2 linked regions of the Nothobranchius furzeri genome follow. The protein of the gene in region 1 interacts with the protein of each later gene in a pairwise test. Links are inferred from orthologs where the notes say so. Each region holds a gene or a part of one and is shown in the gene's direction. Other genes may lie near its edges.

What was found.
Region 2: the proteins of dnpep (region 1) and mpp1 interact in binary tests that used the Homo sapiens proteins (3 or more experiments, as listed by UniProt). The two-hybrid records come from large-scale screens. The link is inferred for Nothobranchius furzeri from reciprocal best matches to the Homo sapiens genes DNPEP and MPP1.

Annotation. Positions count from the first base shown.
Region 1 is NC_091743.1:83,106,439-83,116,964, reverse strand, and holds the start of dnpep (aspartyl aminopeptidase), read left to right. Parts: upstream 1-3,906; 5' UTR 3,907-3,978; coding exon 3,979-3,981; intron 3,982-4,348; coding exon 4,349-4,433; intron 4,434-5,201; coding exon 5,202-5,290; intron 5,291-5,370; coding exon 5,371-5,484; intron 5,485-6,028; coding exon 6,029-6,154; intron 6,155-6,952; coding exon 6,953-7,077; intron 7,078-7,485; coding exon 7,486-7,570; intron 7,571-8,800; coding exon 8,801-8,908; intron 8,909-10,526.
Region 2 is NC_091750.1:51,665,260-51,675,685, reverse strand, and holds the end of mpp1 (55 kDa erythrocyte membrane protein), read left to right. Parts: intron 1-4,667; coding exon 4,668-4,864; intron 4,865-4,946; coding exon 4,947-5,050; intron 5,051-5,120; coding exon 5,121-5,201; intron 5,202-5,285; coding exon 5,286-5,366; intron 5,367-5,442; coding exon 5,443-5,645; intron 5,646-5,757; coding exon 5,758-5,832; intron 5,833-5,921; coding exon 5,922-6,098; 3' UTR 6,099-6,538; downstream 6,539-10,426. UniProt on the Homo sapiens protein: Essential regulator of neutrophil polarity. Regulates neutrophil polarization by regulating AKT1 phosphorylation through a mechanism that is independent of PIK3CG activity.

The DNA of each region.
Region 1 (10,526 bases):
TCCCACCCTGAAGCCAGGCCTGGGGTTGGGGCCCGTGAGCGAGCGCCTGGTGGCCGGGCTTTCGCCCATGGCGCCCGGCTGGGCCCAGCCCGAACCGGATGCATGAGCTCATCCAACTGTGGACCCACCACCTACAGGAGCAACAAGAAGGGTCCGGTGCAGTGTGGATCGGGTGGCAGACCGAGGCGGGAGCCTTGGCGGTCCGATCCCCGGAGAACAAAACTGGTTTTTGGGACATGGAACGTCACCTCGCTGGCGGGGAAGGAGCAGGAGCTTGTGGCAGAGGTTGAGCGGTACCGGCTAGATATAGTCGGACTCACCTCGACACATAGCATGGGCTCTGGGACCCAAGTCCTTGAGAGCGGTTGGACACTCTCCTTTGCTGGAGTTGCTCCGGGTGAGAGGCGGAGGGCTGGGGTTGGCTTTTTGTTAGCCCCAAGACTCTCTGCCTGTGTGTTGGGGTTTACCCCGGGGGACGAGAGGGTAGCTTCCCTGTGTCTTCGGGTCGGGGAACGGGTCCTGACTGTTGTTTGCGCTTATGGGCCAAATATCAGTTCAGAGTACCCACCCTTTTTGGAGTCCTTGGGACAAGTGCTACATAGTGCTCTATCAGGGGACTCCATTGTCCTGCTGGGGGATTTCAATGCTCATGTGGGAAATGACAGCATGATCTGGAGGGGTGTGATTGGGATGAACGGCCCACCTGATCTGAAATCGAGTGGTGTTTCATTATTGGACTTCTGTGCAAGCCGCAGTTTGGCCATAACGAACACCATGTTCGAACATAAGGATGCCCACCGGTACACTTGGTACCAGGGCAGCCTAGGTCGCAGGTCGATGATAGACTTTGTAGTCGTATCATCTGACCTGCGGCCGTATGTTTTGGACACCCGAGTGAAGAGAGGAGCGGAGCTGTCAACTGATCACCACCTGGTGGTGAGTTGGATCAGACGGCAGGGGAAGATGCCGCGTAGACCTGGCAGACCCAAATGCATAGTGAGGGTCTGCTGGGAACACCTGGCAGAAGAACCTGTCAAGACAGTCTTCAACTCCCACCTCCGGCAGAGTTTTGACCGCATCCCGAGAGCAGTAGGGGAGTGGGCCTTGTTCCACTCTGCGATTGTTGAGGCGGCTGTTGCTATCTGTGGTCGCAAGGTGGCCGGTGCCAGTCGTGGTGGCAACCCCCGTACCCGCTGGTGGACACCAGAGGTTCGGGGAGCCGTCAGGCTGAAGAAGGAGGCCTACAGGGCGTGGCTGGTCTGTGGGTCTCCGGAGGCAGCAGACAGGTACCGGATAGCCAAGCGGGGTGCAGCAGTGGCAGTTGCCGAGGCAAAATCTCGGGCACGGGAGGAGTTTGGTGAGGCCATGGAGAAAGACTATCGATCGGCTCCAAAGAGGTTCTGGCAAACTGTCTGGCACCTCAGGAAAGGAAGGCAGCAACTCGCTCACACTGTTTACAGTGGGGATGGGGAGCTGCTGACGTCAACTGGGGCTATAGTCGGGCGGTGGAAGGAATAATTTGAGAAGCTCCTCAGTCCCACCTACGCGCATTCTGAGGAGGAACCAGAGCCGGGAGACCTGGGGATGGAATGTTCAATCTCTGGGGCAGAAGTTGCTGAGGTAGTCAAACAACTACACAGCGGCGGAGCCCCGGGGGTGGATGAGATTCGTCCTGGCTATCTCAAGGCTATGGATGTTGTAGGGCTGTCATGGTTGACACGTCTCTGCAAAATTGCGTGGTCATAGGGGGCAGTTCCTGTGGAGTGGCAGACCGGGGTGGTGGTCCCCATCTTTAAGAAGGGTGACCTGAGGGTGTGTTCCAACTATAGGGGGATCACACTCCTCAGCCCCCTGGAAAGGTCTACTCCAAGGTACTGGAGAGGAGGGTCCGATTGATAGTTGAATCTCAGATTGAGGAGGAGCAATGTGGTTGTCGTCCTGGCCGTGGAACCGTGGACCAGCAAGGGTGATGGAGGGGGCATGGGAGTTTGCCCAACCAATCCACATGTGATTTGTGGATTTGGAGAAGGCTTATGACCGTGTCCCCAGGGGCACCCTGTGGGGCCGCTCCAGGAGTATGGGGTGGGTGGCCTTTTGTTAAGGGCCATTCAGTCCCTTTACCAGAGGAGCGTGAGTTTGGTCCGCATAGCTGGTAGTAAGCCGGACCTGTTCCCAGTGAGGGTTGGACTCCGCCAGGGCTGCCCTTTGTCACCGGTTCTGTTCATTACCTTTATGGACAGAATTTCTAGGCGCAGCCGTGGTGTGGAGTGTGTCGAGTTTGGTGGCAGGAGAATCTCGTCTCTGCTTTTTGCGGATGATGTGGTCCTCCTAGCTTCATCCAGCTCTGACCTTCAGCTCTTGCTGGGTAGGTTCGCGGCCGAATGTGAAGTGGCTGGGATGAGGATCAGCACCTCCAAATCTGAGACCATGGTTCTCGACCGGAAAAGGGTGGCTTGCCAACTCCGGGTCAGGAGAGAGGTCCTACCTCAAGTGGAGGAGTTTAAGTATCTCGGGGTCTTGTTCACGAGTGAGGGTAGGAGGGATCGGGAGATCGACAGGCGGATTGGTTCAGCGTCCGCAGTGATGCGGACGCTGAGCCGATCTGTCGTGGTGAAGAGGGAGCTGAGCCAGAAAGCCAGGCTCTCAATTTACCGGTCGATCTACGTCCCAATCCTCACCTATGGTCATGAGCTTTGGGTAATGACCAAAAGAACAAGATTGCGGATACAAGCGGCTGAAATGAGTTTCCTCCGTAGGGTGGCCGGGCTCAGCCTTTGGGATAGGGTGAGGAGCTCGGACATTCGGGAGGGACTCGGAGTAGAACCGCTGCTCCTCCTGATCGAAAGGAGCCAGTTGAGGTGGTTTGGGCATCTGGTCAGGATGCCTCCTGAACGCCTCCCTGGGAAGGTGTTCCGGGCATGTCCTGCCGGCAGGAGGCCCCCGGGTCGACCCAGGACACGTTGGAGAGGTTACAGCTCCAATCTGGTCCGGGAACGCCTTGGGATACTGCCGGAGGAACTGGTGGAGGTGACCGGGGAGAGGACGGTCTGGAGCTCCCTAGTTGGGTTGCTGCCCCCGCGACCCGGACCCGGATAAGCGGAGGAAGATGACGACGATGCAGTGATGCAAACAAAATCCCTTGTGTTCCCACTCTTTGCTCAAATTTTCCAATTTTTAAAAAATCTACACATGCTTTTAGATTTACAATTGATTAAATTTAAAGTCAGTTTTATGAACTGTAAAAACGTGTTTCGAAACCCGTTATGTAAATAAAGAACCATCACGATTACTTTTCAGTGTGATGATGCAGCTGCTCACATCATTTAACCATCATAAATTCAGAGCGCTGCTGGTGCTTTAAGAGAAATTCCCACATGATCTGGTGCTGAAGATGTTCAGAACTGCAGCCTGTTGCTCTCACATCTATTAATAGAGTCTGAATGTGTGAGTGTGTGTTCTCCTCCCTCTGGGCTTCCTCGAAAAGCAGCAGAGAAAATACAAAATGACAGCTGAGGTAAACATCTCTTCATTGTTTTCTCCTCCTCCTCCTCCTCCTCTCATGGTGCTCAGGACTATGTAAGGCTAGTTCCTGTGGCAATACAATGATAAACAGTTGCCACTTTACATTATAAACAGATAAGAAACAGATAGCTTAGAAATGAAAATAGAAGCAAAATGGAAAAATAATTGAATTATCAACGTCTTAGTTATCATAGTTGATAAAGTTTTGTCACTATTTAACTGAAGATCTCATATTATCCAAATTATTCACTTTAGAACTTTAAGTAAAAGTGTCAACAGTATTTTTAGTGTTTATGAAACCCATAATTATTTTACATATTAGATTAAACATATTATCCAATAGAAAACCTGTTAAAAGCTAAAATGTTTAGTTGCACCTCCCGACCGCAGGGTGTCGCTGGCGCTCCACGATCATAAACAATCTCTGCTCTTTTCCTGTCTCATTCCAGACTGACGATGGTAAGTGTCATAAAAATTATTATTTGTGTTTGATTCATAACTGGGTGTTGTTTCCTAGCTGGAATCTGGTTTTTGCTTTAGTTTCTGGTTGAAGAAAACAGGAACAGAGCAAAACCGTTCGGGTTAGCTGGATTTAAGCCCCGGTGCTTCCTTTTATCGGGCGAGACGGTCATTATTTTGGTGTTGAACTGCACCCTAAAAACGTTTTTGTTGTAATTATCTCTAACTGAAACCAGGTTAAAGGTTTGTGTTAGTTTGTCTGATTTACCTTAGCAGATAAAGGCTGGAACCTGTTGCCCTGGAGTTGCAACTAGCATCATTTAGCTGTTAGCTGTTTCGAAATTCACTTTTAACCTTTTTCTTCAAGAGTTTGATCATGAAGAAAGAAGCAGTTCAAAAAGCAGCCAAAGAGTTTCTGCAGTTTGTCAACAAAGGAGTGTCTCCATATCACGGTAAAGTCATGTAACTATTGAATTTAACGTTGTAAACAAACCTTACGATGCAGGAAAGTCTAAATGTCTTCAGGCTTGTTTCTCGGTGTTTTGCTACAGGATGATGCTTTATTTTTGTATTTTCCCTACAAATAGATTTGTTGTCATTCTAACATGAAATCAACTTTTGTTATTCATGTCTTTGGAGATCAAACATTGTAATAAACGTTAAAAGCAGGAGCAACACAAAATTAAACTGAACCTGTGATTTTGTGCTACTTTTTTATTTCTAGAGTCAAAATTATTAACCCCTTGTCATTTAGTCAGTGTTCTTTAAAATTTTAAATATTTTTTTGCCTTTAAAACATTTTAAAACTCGAATTTTGCCACCTAAACTCTGAACTAAGTTCAGATGAAGCGATAACAGGTTATATTTGATAAGGCAGAGGGTTAAAACCTGCCAGCTGTTAGTGGTCAGGTTACTTTTTCTCCTGTAATCATAGACCAAAGAGATGTGCAGCTGTCAGCATTATCTTGGTCCCAAGTCAAGACGCCGGTCAGATTACCAGACGACTTTGAGCTCCAGATAAGATAAAGAAGAACAGATATTTCATAACGTGTCGCATCTGCGAACGCCGCTCCTTCCTGAGAAAAGGTTAGATATAGGAGCTCTGAGTGAAACTAGATTGCAAGCTTGTAAATAATCATTCATGAATGAATTAACTGATCTTGATTATTTTTATTACTGTCACTAAATGTCCGAATCCTAACTATTTTTCTGCTCTGTAGTGGTTGAAGAATGCAGGCAACATCTGTTCGAGGCTGGATTTATTGAGCTGAAGGAGTCTGAGCAGTGGGACATCAAGCCAGCCGGCAAGGTGGGTTAGGGTTAAAGGTCACGGGGGAGAGTTTTCAGGTTTCATGGCTGATTTATAACAAATCATCTTCCTGTTTGTAGTACTTTGTGACCAGGAACTTCTCCAGTCTCATTGCTTTTGCAGTGGGCGGATGTTACCTGCCAGGGAATGGTTTCTCCATGATCGGAGCCCACACAGACAGCCCCTGCCTCAGAGTAAGGCCCCACCAATAAAAACATCATAAAAACAATAGCAGTGACAACAATAGTGACCAAAATCAGGAGTAAAAACAAAGTCAAGGTGTGAACAAGAACAAAGCCATCTTTTAGAATATTTAGCGGGGGAAAGCCTGGATGAAAAGGTGAGTTTTAAGATGTTTTTTAAAGACCTCTACAGATTTCAAGAGACGGAGATTTGAAGGCAGACTGTTCCAAAGTCTGGGGGCAATAGACTGAAAGGCCCTGTCCCCTTTGGGTTTTAGTCTGGTTCGAGGAACAGCCAGGAGGTTTTCAGATGTGGATTGGAGGTTCCGTGAAGTGGTGTGTGGGGATAAAAGCTCAGATAAATAGCTTGGAGCCTGGTTGTTAAGAGCTCTATAGGTCAGCACTAAAACTTTAAACTGTATTCTAAATTCTACATTCTAAAATGTGTGTGTGTGTGTGTGTGTGTGTGTGTGTGTGTGTGTGTGTGTGTGTGTGTGTGTGTGTGTGTGTGTGTGTGTGTGTGTGTGTGTGTTTGTGCGCGTGTGCGCACTTCCAGGTGAAGCCGAGGTCTAAGAGGACAAAGCAGGGCTGTCTGCAGGTGGGTGTGGAGTGTTACGGCGGCGGCATCTGGAACACCTGGTTCGATCGAGACCTGACCATCGCCGGCCGCGTAATAGTCAAGGTACCAGGATTTATGTCATCGTTAACTTGATGACATCACTTAAACCCGCTGGAGGGTTTTTAAGCTTGTTTGTTTTTTATTCCTGTTTTCTTTTTACCTTTTGTTGTTTTCTTCTGTGAAAGTCTTTGTGCATCAACAGTCTTCAGATCTACAAACGATTAACTGTGACAAATTTGGAAAAATGCTGTGAAAATCTCTCAGGTCTGTTGGAGATCTATGTCTACAGTTACAGACATTTCTTGCATTCAGACATTTTTCTACTTTAGAAAACCTTTTTTTGTATCTCATCAGAAACTAGTTGTATCAATGGACTTTGGATTTTATGGTTTTAAGGTTTTTTAAAAATATTTTAGCATTTCAGATCATTTAGGTCTTAATAGTTTTCTTCTGAACACTTGGAGATCAACCTGGAAGGAAAAGGTGTTTTTACTGTGTTTAAACTGCAGGGGGCGCCAGATCTCTAAAGACAAAATCTGAAACCCTGAACATTTCCATGTGGTCAGTTTTCGGTCAAACTCTGCTAAATTAGACCTCATCATCAGTTTGATCACAGCTGATGAGTGCTTTTGTGGTTTTGTTTATTATTTACCCGGAAAAATATGATTTATTTGTGTTATGTGGTTGTTTTGTTGATTATAACAGATTTATTCTGTTGCTATTCCCTTTGGTTGTTGTTACAATAGAAGGAAACACTTTGTCTTGGGGAATGTAACCACACAGGACTAAGTCTTCCTGTCAGAGTTGTTTGGGTCATTCACGAATCTTCTGGAGTCATGGCTGCTGATCTTGTCCCTGCAGAGTGGTGGGAAGCTCATCCACCGGCTGGTCCACATCCCCCGGCCTCTCCTCAGGGTTCCTCACCTCGCCATCCACCTGCAGCGGGACATCAACGACTCCTTCGGCCCAAACAAGGAGAACCACTTGTGAGTTCATTTTCTGGCCCTTTTTTTTCCAGTTTTAGGTCATGGTGGAATGTTGGTTTAGATGAAAATCCGACAAGTTATTAGCATCAGAATCCTTTGGAGCTGTTTTCTCTTTAGGAAACAAGCTAAAACTCCACATGTCCTCTTGAGTGTGTTAGAGTTTCCTTTACCTGTTGATGACATCATAACCAGGTGGTAAACTCCCTCACCACATGTCTCATTTAGTCCGTTTTCTCCTTTGAGGTGGTTCGTTTATGTAGGTGTGAACACAGTAACCTCTCCAGGACGCAGAGCACAATAACAGTACCGAGACCCGCTGCAGGAGGCGGTCCTGGTAAATCCAGAGCGGTACAAACGTGATCTAACAGAACACCTTGATGAGGAAGAGATTTCTTTTCTGTGTTCTAGAGTTCCCATAATCGCCACGGCCGTTCAGGAGGAGCTAGAGACGGGTTCTTCTTCATCTGGAGATGCTTCCTGCGCCTCCACCACGGTAAAAACCTCAAATCCGTTTATATATTTAATCACTTAAAATGTCTAAATAATTAAAAAACATTACAAAGTTTGTCACTAAATCTTTAACATATTTTACGTGATTCTGTTTAAAGGGACTATAAAGGAAGTTTGACAGCCAAAACATGTATCGAAATAATAAATAGAATGAGCCCTGGCATTTTTACTGTGATTGCCTGTTTTTCTGTAAAATCACAGAAGAAGAGAGATGCTCGGGTCGAGCAGGCTGCTTCATGCGCGTTCACGCTCAGACACAGCCCGTAGCATTTGCTATCCGTAGCTTTAGCAGCAGAGAGAGAGGCAGTGCCACTTTGTCGCTGTTCCTAACGCCTAGTGATGAACCTAGCTACATTTCTGAGGACCCTTAGCTACTTTCTGTGGAACATTCTTCTAGATATTTCCTGCAAATTAACAACAAAATAGCCATTTTTGCTTTGAACCGTTCTTTGATTTGACGTTGTTTCAGCTGTCATCAAGGATATAAATGTTACAGATACAAAGGATGTCACTGGTGCTTTCGCTCACCTAGTAAGACGTTGGACTCCCATGCAGAAGACCTGGGTTTGATTCTGGATGTGAACATAGTTTATTTAGAGTTTCTTTTTTACATTAATGGTATTTTTTTACAGTAAGATGCCCAAATTTTTATTATAGACTCGCCGAACGGCATTGAATTCACAGATAAAAAAGATGTGGGTTCAACTTTCATTTTGGAACAATTTTTCAAGCAAGGGAAGGGAATGATCTGAGCATGCTGGAGGACCGACCCATCATAAACCTTTGTCGGCTGTGCTGAAGAGAAAGGTACAGAACAAAATTATTCAATTAATTAGCTGCACGTTCTCCTGTCCTCTGTCCTCCGGGCCACACACACACGCGCACACACACACACACACACACACACACACACGACTATCTCAAATGTTATTTTCGTTAAGGAGTGTGCACGTACAGCATGTGCGCCTCGTGCACGAGCCTACTATTGAAGCTGCTGTTACGCTTTTGGCCTGAGGGGGCAATCACGAGCATAAAAATTCAAAAGTCCGAAAAGTCCCTTTAAATAGTAAAATGGATTTTTAAATAATTTTTATTTTGTGGGAGCCTTTTTCAAATTGCTTCTGTTTTTTCTTTTTCAGCAAAACTGAAACTTTTTCAGTTTTAGAGAAGCTGAGAAACTGAAATGTGTCTTTTTATTTCTAATCCCTCTCAGATGGAGAAGCACCACCCAGCCCTGGTGAAGGCGTTGTGTTCAGAGCTCAGCGTTGAGCCTGAAGTTCTGCTGGACTTTGAGTTGTGTTTGGCCGACACGCAGCCGGCGGTGAGTCTCTAAACCATCCAGTCATTTCCTGTCAGGTCAGAAAACCAGCCGCTTACTTCCTGTCACTCACCAACTGGATGAGAGACACACACGTAACACCTGCGGCTCCAAAAGGACTGGTGCTGAACAACTTGTTGAAAATGTTTAACTCATTCACTGCTAGGGTTGCCACGATACTAAAATTTAAAACTCGATTCGATACTGGGGAAAAAAACTCGATTTCGATACTATTTAAAAACACCAATTTATTGAACAAGTTTATTCAAAAAATAACATTCCTCAATTTATATTGCAAAAATTAAATGTTAAGAATTAAGTGTATAAAGTGCTTAAACCTTGCAAGTATCAGCATTTTTTAAAACATGCATACACCTTATCGTGGTGGAGGAGTTTGAGTGCCCTAATGATCCTAGGAGCTATGTTGTCTGGGGCACTTAGTGCCCCTGGTAGGGTCTCCCATGACAAATTGGTCTTAGGTGAAGGGTGAGACAAAGAATGGTTCGGAGGATCTTTCATGGCGGTTAAAACGAAGAGTTGGAGTACCCGGCCCGGAGGGTTACCGGGGTCCCACCCTGGAGCCAGGCCTGGGGTTGGGGCCCGTGAGCGAGCGCCTGGTGGCCGGGCTTTCGCCCATGGGGCCCGGCCGGGCCCAGCCCGAACCGGATACATGGGCTCGTCCAACTGTGGACCCACCACCCGCAGGAGGAACATGAAGGGTCCGGTGCAATGTGAATCGGGTGGCAGACCAAGGCGGGAGCCTTGGCGGTCCAATCCCTGGACAAGAAAACTAGTTTTTGGGACATGGAACGTCACCTCGCTGGCGGGGAAGGAGCCGGAGCTTGTGGCAGAGGTTGAGCGGTACCGGCTAGATATAGTCGGACTCACCTCGACACATTGCATTGGCTCTGGAACCCGAGACCTGGAGAGGGGTTGGACACTCTACTTTGCTGGAGTTGCTCCGGGTGAGAGGCGGAGGGCTGGGGTTGGCTTTTTGTTAGCCCCGAGACTCTCTGCCTGTGTGTTGGGGTTTACCCCGGGGGACAAGAGGGTAGCTTCCTTGCGCCTTCGGGTCGGGGAACGGGTCCTGACTGTTGTTTGTGCTTATGGGCCAAATATCAGTTCAGAGTACCCACCCTTTTTGGAGTCCCTGGGACAAGTGCTAGATAGTGCTCCATCAGGGGACTCCATTGTCCTGCTGGGGGACTTCAATGCTCACGTGGGCAATGACAGCTTGACCTGGAGGGGTGTGATTGGGAGGAACGGCCCACCTAATCTGAACTCGAGCGGTGTTTTGTTATTGGACTTCTGTGCAAGCCGCAGTTTGGCCATAACGAACACCATGTTCGAACATAAGGATGCCCACCGGTACACTTGGTACCAGGGCAGCCTAGGTCACAGGTCGATGATAGATTTTGTAGTCGTATCATCTGACCTGCGGCCGTATGTTTTGGACACCCGAGTGAAGAGAGGGGCGGAGCTGTCAACTGATCACCACCTGGTGGTGAGTTGGATCAGATGGCAAGGGAACATGCCGCGTAGACCTGGCAGACCCAAACGCATAGTGAGGGTCTGCTGGGAACGCCTGGCAGAAGAACCTGTCAAGACGGTCTTCAACTCC
Region 2 (10,426 bases), on another chromosome or scaffold:
TAAATGTTAGCTGCAGCGCCGTTTACAGAAACAGAGGATTCTGCTGGATTCCGTTTCTCTTTTTAAATCTGGTTAATTTGATTGGCTGTACTGCAGCTCTCACACACTTGCTAGCCTACAGACAGACGTCCCCGTTTGTTAATACGGGGTTGAGCGAAATAACTTAAAAATGGGAAATTCTCAAATGTTTTAAACTAAATATTGGGCCAAATATCAGGTGCCTCATTTATCAAGCTTGCTTACGCACAGAACGGGGTTGGAAAACTGCATAAGCAACTTTCCACGCAAATTTTGGGATTTATGAAAGAAAACTTAGCGGAAAAATGTACGCAACTTTAAGTTGAATAAGGACCTGGCTTACACACATTTTGGACATGGAGAGCACCTGCAGTGCTGCTGCTGAGAAGGATAAAATTATGAAATCCTGCAGCATTATCACGTCTACTCTTCGTTTTCACACAGAACAAGACCCCCCACACGCACACACATGCGTGCGCACACGTACGCACACACACGCGCGCGCGCACACTCACACACACGCACGCACACACACACACACACACACACACACAGCCTGAAGCGCAGAATACAGAATGCAGAAGATCAGCAGGGGGACAGATTGAGACAGAATGTCATGCATCTGTGAAAGTGTGTGTCCTGTCACTGTGAACCGATTGATCATGCACCCTGGTTAGTTGGACAAGGCAGATCTCCAATAGGGTGACAGGTTAGCATGCGTGACTTTCACCTGGGAGTCTGGGGATCGAATCCCGATTGGACCATTTTTTTTTATATCCGCCACAGATCTCTCTGAAGAACTCACAACATTGACGGCTTCAGCAATGCTGTGCCACTCTGTGGATTTTCTCATATTTGTTTTGCAAAAGTACTTCCTTTCATTTCTCCACCTCACCCACAAGTACCTCAATTTCAGCTTGTGTGAAATTGGGCTTCCTTGATCTGCCTTGTACGGTGGCCCTGAAGTGCAAACCACAAAAACAAATCACTAAACGCACAACAAAATGAAAAATGCAACAACAAATTCACTAAACACAAAAACAAGTCACTAAATGCACAACAAATTGAAAAGCACAACAACAAATTGAAAAGCCTAACAACAAATCACTAAACGCACAACAAATTGAAAAGCGCAAAAACAATTTCACTAAATGCAACAAAAAATCACTAAGTGCAAAAACAAATCACTAAACGCATGTTACGTCCCCGACAGGAGATGTTAAAATATGAAGGAGGGGGTAACATAAGAAATACAACAGTGGCGTTTAAAATGGGTTTAATTGTGATACAAGGTTCTAAAAACAAGAGCAAACAGACTACGAGCATTATTAAAATAATGCAAAACAAAAAATTCACTATAAGGTTAACAGTTAAAAGACAAATTATCAACTCTATAAAACACCTGGTTAAAACTTTATTAAAAGTTTTACCTAAACTGAAGGTGTTTTAAAACACAATGAGGTTGATAAAAGTCTAAAAACTAAATCCGAGTTAACCTTAAAACACAGTCAACACTAGGTGACTTGCACAAAAGATCCATGTGGATCACTCAGAGTTAAAACTATAAGTTAAAACTCATCATAATGACGGGGTTAAACCAAACGAGACCTGGAGGACACCAGAACCCCTGCACTGCTGCCTCCCAGACTGCTGAAGGCACAGCCTTTTTATCCCAGGTGTGGCTCATCAGGAGGATTCAGTTCAGCTGTGCTCCTCAGCAGCCTGGAAGAGAGGAGGAGGAGGGGCGGTGTCCAGTCAATCACCAGAGCTGGGTGATCCTGGCTGCTTTTTCCCCTCTTCAGGCTGGCAGCCGTGACACCCCCACACATAAACAAAAGAAAAAGGATAAAAGTTAGTAAAGGACACAATAGAAACTTTTAAAACTTTTTCTTTAACAGCTAGGATCACATAAAAACAAAAGAGACCCCCGATAAAATAAAACAGGCTATCTAAAATCCCTACTCTTCATGCACTTCGCAGGCGGGCAGATTAAGCACATGTGCTGTTGCACATTCCGACCAGCAAAGGGAGGGGGTTAGCCACTGCCCTTCCTGGGGTGCTCCCGAGATGGTGGAGTAAACCACCAACGCTAACCCGCTAGGTGCAACACCTGAGCCTGCCTGTGGGGGCCATCTCAGGATCCACGTCTTTTATCCTCCTCTCCTTGGGCTGGATCAGACTTGAAGCTTCTGAGAGCCCATCCAGCAGTGGATCCTCCAGCGGGAGCTAGGCCTCCAGAAGCACCCGCCAGTCATCCACAAAGCCATCTGTTTAAAACCTTGAAACAAATAAAACACCATTAAAATACCACCACCAGGGATTGTACATTCCTTCACGGTCTGCTGTTAAAATAAATATCCCGGACGAGCCCCCATTTATGTTACGTCCCCGACAGGAGATGTTAAAATGTGAAGGAGGGGGTAACATAAGAAATACGACAGTGGCATTTAAAATGGGTTTAATTGTGATAAAAGGTTCTAAAAACAAGAGCAAACAGACGGCGAGCATTATTAAAATAATGCAAAACGAAAAATTCACTATAAGGTTAACAGTTAAAAGACAAATTATCAACTATAAAACACCTGGTTAAAACTTTATTAAAAGTTTTACCTAAACTGAAGGTGTTTTAAAACACAGTGACGTTGATAAAAGTCTAAAAACTAAATCCGAGTTAACCTTAAAACACAGTCAACACTAGGTGACTTGCACAAAAGATCCATGTGGATCACTCAGAGTTAAAACTATAAGTTAAAACTCATCATAACGACGCGGTTAAACCAAACGAGACCTGGAGGACAGCAGAACCCCTGCACTGCTGCCTCCCAGACTGCTGAAGGCACAGCCTTTTTATCCCAGGTGTGGCTCATCAGGAGGATTCAGTTCAGCTGTGCTCCTCAGCAGCCTGGAAGAGAGGAGGAGGAGGGGCGGTGTCCAGTCAATCACCAGAGCTGGGTGATCCTGGCTGCTTTTTCCCCTCTTCAGGCTGGCAGCCGTGACAACGCAACAAAAAATCACTACGCGCAAAAACAAATTCACTAAATGCACCAAAAAATCACTAAGCGCATAAACAAATTCACTAAATGCACCAAAAAATCACTAAACGCACAACAAATTGAAAAGCACAACAAAAAATTGAAAAGCACAACAACAAATTCACTAAACACAAAACCAAATTGAAAACCACAAAAACAAAAAACAAACCGGAAAAGGTAGGTACCAATGCTGCAACAACAGGCATCACTGATTGGATGATGGATCCGTTGGCCTTTTGAATCGGAAGTTGTTCTGCCGAACGTGGTTATGTGAAAGAGCAGTCAGCGGGTGTGTCCGAATCCACAGGCCGGGTCCTTGCCAGACCGCTAAGCGATTTGTTTTTGCGCTTTTCAATTTGTGTTTGCGTTAAGTGATTTGTTTTTGTGGTTTGCACTTCAGGGCCACCGTAGCCTTGATCTACGGTCGCCATGTCATTGGTGGAGCGCTGCAACAGCCGGCTTATGTATATGCATGAGATCCACAAGGCACTTTGCATTGACTATTTATGGCAGTAAGTGGGCGTGGTGAGGGTGGGATGTGACTAAAAAGCAGCTGAGAACCTTTCTAGATAGTTTCTGATTTATGAAGCGGAGATTGCGTGCAGCTGTGCGTTCTCCATGTTTGATAGATCACAAACCTACTTGGCGTAAGTACATTTGTTTTGCTGAGCTTAAGTACAGTTTTAGTAAGGATTCTACGCAATGTTTGATAAATGAGACCCCAGGTCTTTTCTCGTAAACAGGTTCAAGTCTAAGTCAAGTCCCAAGTCACTGGTATATAAAAAACAAGTCTTTAAACATTTTTCAAGTCAAGTCTAAAATCATCAAATCTGTGACTCAAATCTGACTCGAGTCCAAGTTACATGACTCAAGTCCAAGTTACGCGAATCAAGTCCAAGTCACGTGACTCCAGTCCACAGTTCTGAGGCAAAGCATTCAGAATCTGAGCAAATCTGAGTCAGGAGGGCGAGAAACTAAGAAATTTCCCCAAAATTCCTGAGTTCTCAACTGAAGTGAACTCGCACATGTCCTTTGATTATTACATAATCAATAGATATATAAATAAGTAAGTAAAACATGCATTTTACTTCCCATTAGAGCATATATCTGAGGAAGACATAGAGACACTTATATCCATCCCTTGCTGCAGGATTTTCTATAAATTCTAAGTAAAAAAAAAAGTCAGAAATCTGTTGCATTAATTTTCTTGCGGGGATCCCAGCCATTGAGGAATGTGGTTGTAGTAATTCACCTGTGGGTGGAGTATGCATGTTCCATAATCTGTGACAGTTTAGGAATGTTTTGTATTAAAATTAAATTCTAATAATCAATGAGACTGAAGTCTACATTTGTCAAACCAATTCATGCTTTTATTATTCATTATGAAACAGTTTTAGTGTTCTGCAAGAAGCTGTCATGATCATTTGGCATTATGCTCTACCCGTGGGTGATTTTAACTTTTGTCTTTGATAGAATCCAAATAACAAGGAAATGTCTGAAGTCTGTATTAGACTACTTTATTTCCTAAAGGTGGTATTTGTGCAGAAACGATTAAATATTCTTATTACACAAAATATTTAGTATCTCTGCTCCACATGTCCTGATCCTTATCCACAGACATACATGAGAGCTCAGTTTGATTATGACCCAACCAAGGATGACCTCATCCCATGCAAAGAGGCTGGCCTAAAGTTTCAAACTGGAGACATCATCCACATTATTAACAAGCAGGATCCAAACTGGTGGCAGGGCAGAGTGGAGAGCAGCGGTGTGGACTTTGCTGGACTGATACCTTCCCCAGAGCTCCAAGAGTGGTAGAGATACGCATCATTTCTGATTAGTGGTCCTGCAGAGCTGAAGATGCATATACAACTTCATGTGCCTGTTTCTTTGCAGGAGAGTGGCCAGTAAAAGCAAGGCCAAGGAGGGAAGTCAGTCCTGCAGCCCGTTTGGAAAGAAGAAGAAGTGCAAGGACAAATATCTCGCTAAGCACAGCTCAAGTGAGAGGATTACTGGACCCAAGTTTACACCCCAGTGCAAGTTTATCTAAACATGATCATTTGTCTGCAGTTTTTGACCAACTGGATGTGATTTCCTATGAAGAGGTGGTGAGGCTCCCTGCTTTTAAAAGAAAAACTCTGGTGCTTATCGGTAAGCTGTCTTTCTCAGGGACATAAGAGGAAACTTGCTTCATCGCAAATTGAATGAATGAGCTCTTAACTTTGCTCTTCTCAGGAGCACCTGGTGTGGGAAGGAGCCATATCAAAAATGCACTGTTGATGAGATACCCTGAGAAATTTTCCTACCCTGCACCACGTAAGTAGGATGTTTTTGTTCTTACAGCGAAGCTAGGTTTGCAAAAATCTTCATTTCAAACACTGAATTTGCACAGACACAACCAGACCCCAGCGGAAGGACGAGGAGAACGGACATGAATATTACTTCATGTCCAATGAAGACATGACCAAGTGCATCTCCAAAAACGAGCTGCTGGAGTACGGAAGCTTCCAGGGATACATGTTCGGTACCAAATTCGAGACCATCCAAAAGATCCACGATCAAGACAAGATTGCTGTGCTGGATGTGGAACCACAGGTCAGAACGGACAAACAGAAACACTATGCTCACATTTTTGACTTTGTAATGGACACTTCTGGAATATTTAGTGCCCAGGGTGTAATTGATTTGTTTGTAAATCTTCCTACAGACCTTAAAACTTGTGCGGACAGCTGATTTCGCCCCCCTGGTGGTGTTTATAGCTCCCACCAACACCGCCACACAGGTGCCACAACATCACACGATAAACACCTTTTTTTAAAAACATCTAAATCAACGAGCCAATAGCTAAACTTCCTGTTTCCTCTCTCTTAGACGGAAAACCTTCAGATGATCCAGAAAGAGTCGGACGCCATCCTGGGCACGTACGGACACTTCTTTGACGTGGTTCTTGTCAACAACGACGTGGATGAGAGCGTTAAAGGGGTAGAGGAGGCCATGGAGCACGCCACCTCCACCCCCCAATGGGTGCCTGTGTCGTGGGTGTACTAAAGAATGCCAGTATCACTCCAAACGCCAAAACCTCTGAGTCAGCAGCGTCCCAGGTGTTTTCCTTTTGGATGTTGTCACTGAGATTTTATTGCACAAATGCAGTTTAAAGAAAAAAAGCAATATTTAGAAAGCTTTATGACAGAAGGCTGAGATGTTTCACCAGGTGGTTTAAACATTTTTGGAGGCTAGGAGCTAGCTTTTGGTGCCACATACCTTAAGAATATTCTGAAATGCAAAACAGGACCATGACTGTGAAATAAATCGCCATTAGATTTTCATTGTCTCTGGTTTTCCCATTTGTCATTACATTAGCTATGGCGAGGACTAGGATTCTGACACTTGTTGCTCATGCTGTCTGTGTAACTTCACCTTACAATCAACCACTGACCGGGTCCTTAAAGGCACTTTTCACCTAAAAAATAAACTATCAATGAAATGCATTAGCTCTGTCGTAGCTGTGTCTTTGATCTTGCTTTTTTTAAAGAGACAGTGTGTAGTTTTTACTGTTAATCTCTGGAATTATCCATTGAAATGTCGTTGAAAATGAATTAACCCTTAGAGGTCCCTCGTGCATTTTTTTGTGAGGCAGTCATGTTTTTTTTTATAAGTTTTGACTGTGTTGATGTAATTCTTTTTATTTTTTGTCTCCGGTGTGTGTTTCTGGGTAAGTTTACTAAAAGTAAAATGCCCCCCCCCCCCCCCCCCCACACACACACACACACACACACACACACACACACTCCATTTAAAACATTGTGTAGACAAAAAAGGAACATTGAGGTCCCTGGACATTTTTTGGTGCCATAGACTCTCATTCAAACAACCTTTTTCTAACAAAGCTAAATATCACTATAAATATTTTTTTATTTCACTCCACCTGTGTTCCTGCTGCCACTAGGGACTGAAATTTTTGTTTTTAATTTTTTCCAGCAAATGGCATGATATTTCTATAAATGGCAGGACATTGATTTATAATACACTTTAGAAATTTATGTTTTGAAGATTTAGTGGCCCCTGGATTCACAATGCAATAATTTTTTTTGAACAATTTTTGTTTGAGTGTTTTTAGAGATGTCAGACTAGTGTGCATGTGTGTTTTCATAATTTATGTGACTGTTTTTTTTCTTTTCAGTTTCGTTAGAAAAATCAGTTCTCACCCAAAGTCTAATATCAGTGCAAAATCCTAAACAACAGATTTATATGTGTTTTTTGTGTGTGTTTCTGCCCACATGCATGCACTTATGACTCGATGCAATTGACAGATTACCAGAGGAAATATTTTTTCATGCTTTGGTGGGTGGTGGAGGTTGGGGGGTGGAGGGGAGGGTGGGGCTTTATATGTCTTAGACTCTTTGAGCTACACCAAAACTTTGTGGTAGCTGGATATAAACTGAATGTGCTGCAAATGTTCAAAAGTTACCAACTTATTTACTGTTGGAAGTTGTAATGCCAACAAGAATACAACTTTTTGAACAGCTCAAAGCTCATGAACACACAATATCTACAGCTATAACTTCAAAGATGCAGCCTGTAAAAACAAATGCCTGCATCAATCAATGTTTACACTTGTGTCCTTGCTGAAAATGCTTATATAGACGGCTCAGATTGGGATTAGTTTTTTTTTTCCATTGCAAAAGTGGCACAATGTCTTAATGTATCACAAGCCTGTGAACTTTTTTATGAGCTATAGAAGCCCAGCAGGAACCAACAGTCTCCAGTGGGGAAAGCTTGTCTTCTGACAATGACTCTGTGGACTCGGAGGATGAAAATTTTGTACCAGCAGGCCCAGCTGACCCTGATGAGGATGGGGAAGGGGGAGAAGACCATCGAGAAGACTGATGAGGAGGAGTTCCGTGGAGTTCAAAGAGCGGCATGCCGCAGGAGAGCTATCATTTTCGGCGAGAAAATATCCCGCGTCCCGGTATCACTCGGTACGCCGTGAGCCAGACAGAAAGCATTGAGCATTGTTTTTTTTGTTGTTGTTTTTTTTGTTCCCCTCTGACTTTTGGTGATATTTAAAAAATAATAATAATAATAACTCCTATACTGTAAACTCTGTTGACACAAAATAATGCATGCAGGTCAATACTTAGCTGCTCTACTAACTACAAACTTTACTTTCATGAAAAAATACTTCTCAGGTTTTTTGTGAATTTTTTAATTTGTGTAATTTCAAAAATTCTTGTACTGTAAACGCTGACACAGAATCATGCCTGCTGGTCAATACTTAGCTCCTCTACAAACTACTTCCTTTACTTTTAGGAAAAAATACTTCTCTCATTTTTGGTGGATTTTTTAAGTTTTCTAATTTCTATAGCTCCTACACTGTAAACTCTTGACACAAAATCATGCAGGATGAATACATTGACTTTTTACATTTAATTACTGTGGGAATGCGTTTTTTATAACTTCAGACTGAAAAATACATGTGTATATATGTCACGACGTGCCGGTGAGTGGAACGGAGGTGAGGATCCACATGCTGGGGAGGAATCAGGCAGGCAGACAAACTGGGTAACGTAAAAGGTTTTAATAACAAACACACGCAGGACATGGGAACAATGAGCCAACAAGAGACACAGAATTGGAGGGGTTTAAATACAGGAGGAGCTGGGACCTTGGGTGATTGGGAGACGAGAGGCAGGTGGGAGCAATTAACATGAACACAGGACTGAACCAAATGGGGAGACAGGGCAGGGTGTTACAGGACCCCCCCCCCCCCCCCCCCCCCCATCAAAGGGCGGATCCCAGATGCCCATAGGAACATAGAGCAGGGCGGGAGGAGGTGGACACGGAGGAAGGGCCGAGAGGGACAGATTCAGAGGAGGCAGGGACCAGTAGAGTCCGGGAGCCTGCGTCTGGGGCAGAGGAGGCGACGACGGGCTCTTGGGGGCCTGCGTATGTGGCAGAGGAGGAGGTGACGATGGGCTCTTGGGGGCCCGCGCTTGGTGAGGGCAGGACTGGTGGTGAACGGAGGCAGAGACGCCGGAGGAGACGTCCTTGACTCCTGGACTGGAGGTGGCGGCGACGTCCTCTGGACTGGAGGTGGCGGCGACGACCTCTGGACTGGAGGCGGCGGCGGCGGCGGCGGCGGCCACCGGAATGGAGGCGGCGGCCACCGGACTGGAGGCGGCGGCGTCGGCCACCGGACTGGAGGCGGCGGCGGCGGCGGCCACCGGACTGGAGGCGGAGACTTCGGCCTCCGGACCGGAGGGGGAAACGTCGGCCTCCGGACCGGAGGCGGAGGCGTCGGCCTCCGGACTGGAGGCGGAGGCGTCGGCCTCCGCACTGGAGGCGGAGGCGTCGGCCTCCGCACTGGAGGCGGAGGCGTCGGCCTCCGGACTGGAGGGGGAGACGTCGGCCTCCGGACAGGAGGGGGAGACGTCGGCCTCCGGACAGGAGGGGGCGTCGACCTCGGGACTGGAAGGAGCGTCGACCTCTGGACGGGAAGGAGCGTCGACCTCTGGACGGGAAGGAGCGTCGACCTCTGGACGGGAAGGAGCGTCTACCTCTGGACGGGAAGGAGCGTCTACCTCTGGACGGGAAGGAGCGTCGACCCCTGTCGGCTTCTGGTCCAGAGGCGCTGGCTTCTGGACCACCAACTTTTGGACCGCCGACTTCTGGACCTGGACTGTCGGCTTTTGGTCCGGAGGCGCCGGCTTCTGGACCACCGACTTCTGGACTGCTGGCTTTTGGACCTGGACCGTCGACTTCTGGACCAGAGGCGTCGACTTCTGGACCAGTGGCGTCGACTTCTGGACCAGTGGCGTCGACTTCTGGACCAGTGGCGTTGACTTCTGGACCAGAGGCGTCGACTTCTGGACCAGAGGCTTCGACTTCTGGAGTGGAGGCGGAGCCACTGCAGGAGGGGCCGCCGACTTCTGGAGTGGAGGCGGAGCCGCTGCAGTTGTGACCGCTTCCTTGGCTGGTGCCGCCAGACTGGGCGCTGACCACTGGACAGGCTGGCCTGGGGGCGGAGCCTCTTGGACAGGCTGGCCCGGGGGTGGAGCGTCCTGGATCACCGCTGGAACTGGCGCTGAGTGGACTGGTGGTGTGGGACCTGGCGCTGACTGGACTGGTGGCACGGGACCTGGTGGAGCCGGTAACTGGAAAAGCAGGGAGGATAGATTGTCCAGCTGGAACTCCTGGAGACTGAGGATCTGACGGAGTCAGACCAGCTCAGCTCGGAGACCGGCGAGCTCTGTTGGATGAGCTGCGAGCTCGGTCCTTTGGCCTGGAGACGAGAGATCTGCTGACTGGACCGGAGGCGGGGCAGCTGGCTGGACAGAAACCTTCTCCTGGAGATACGGGGAGGATAAGGTATCCAG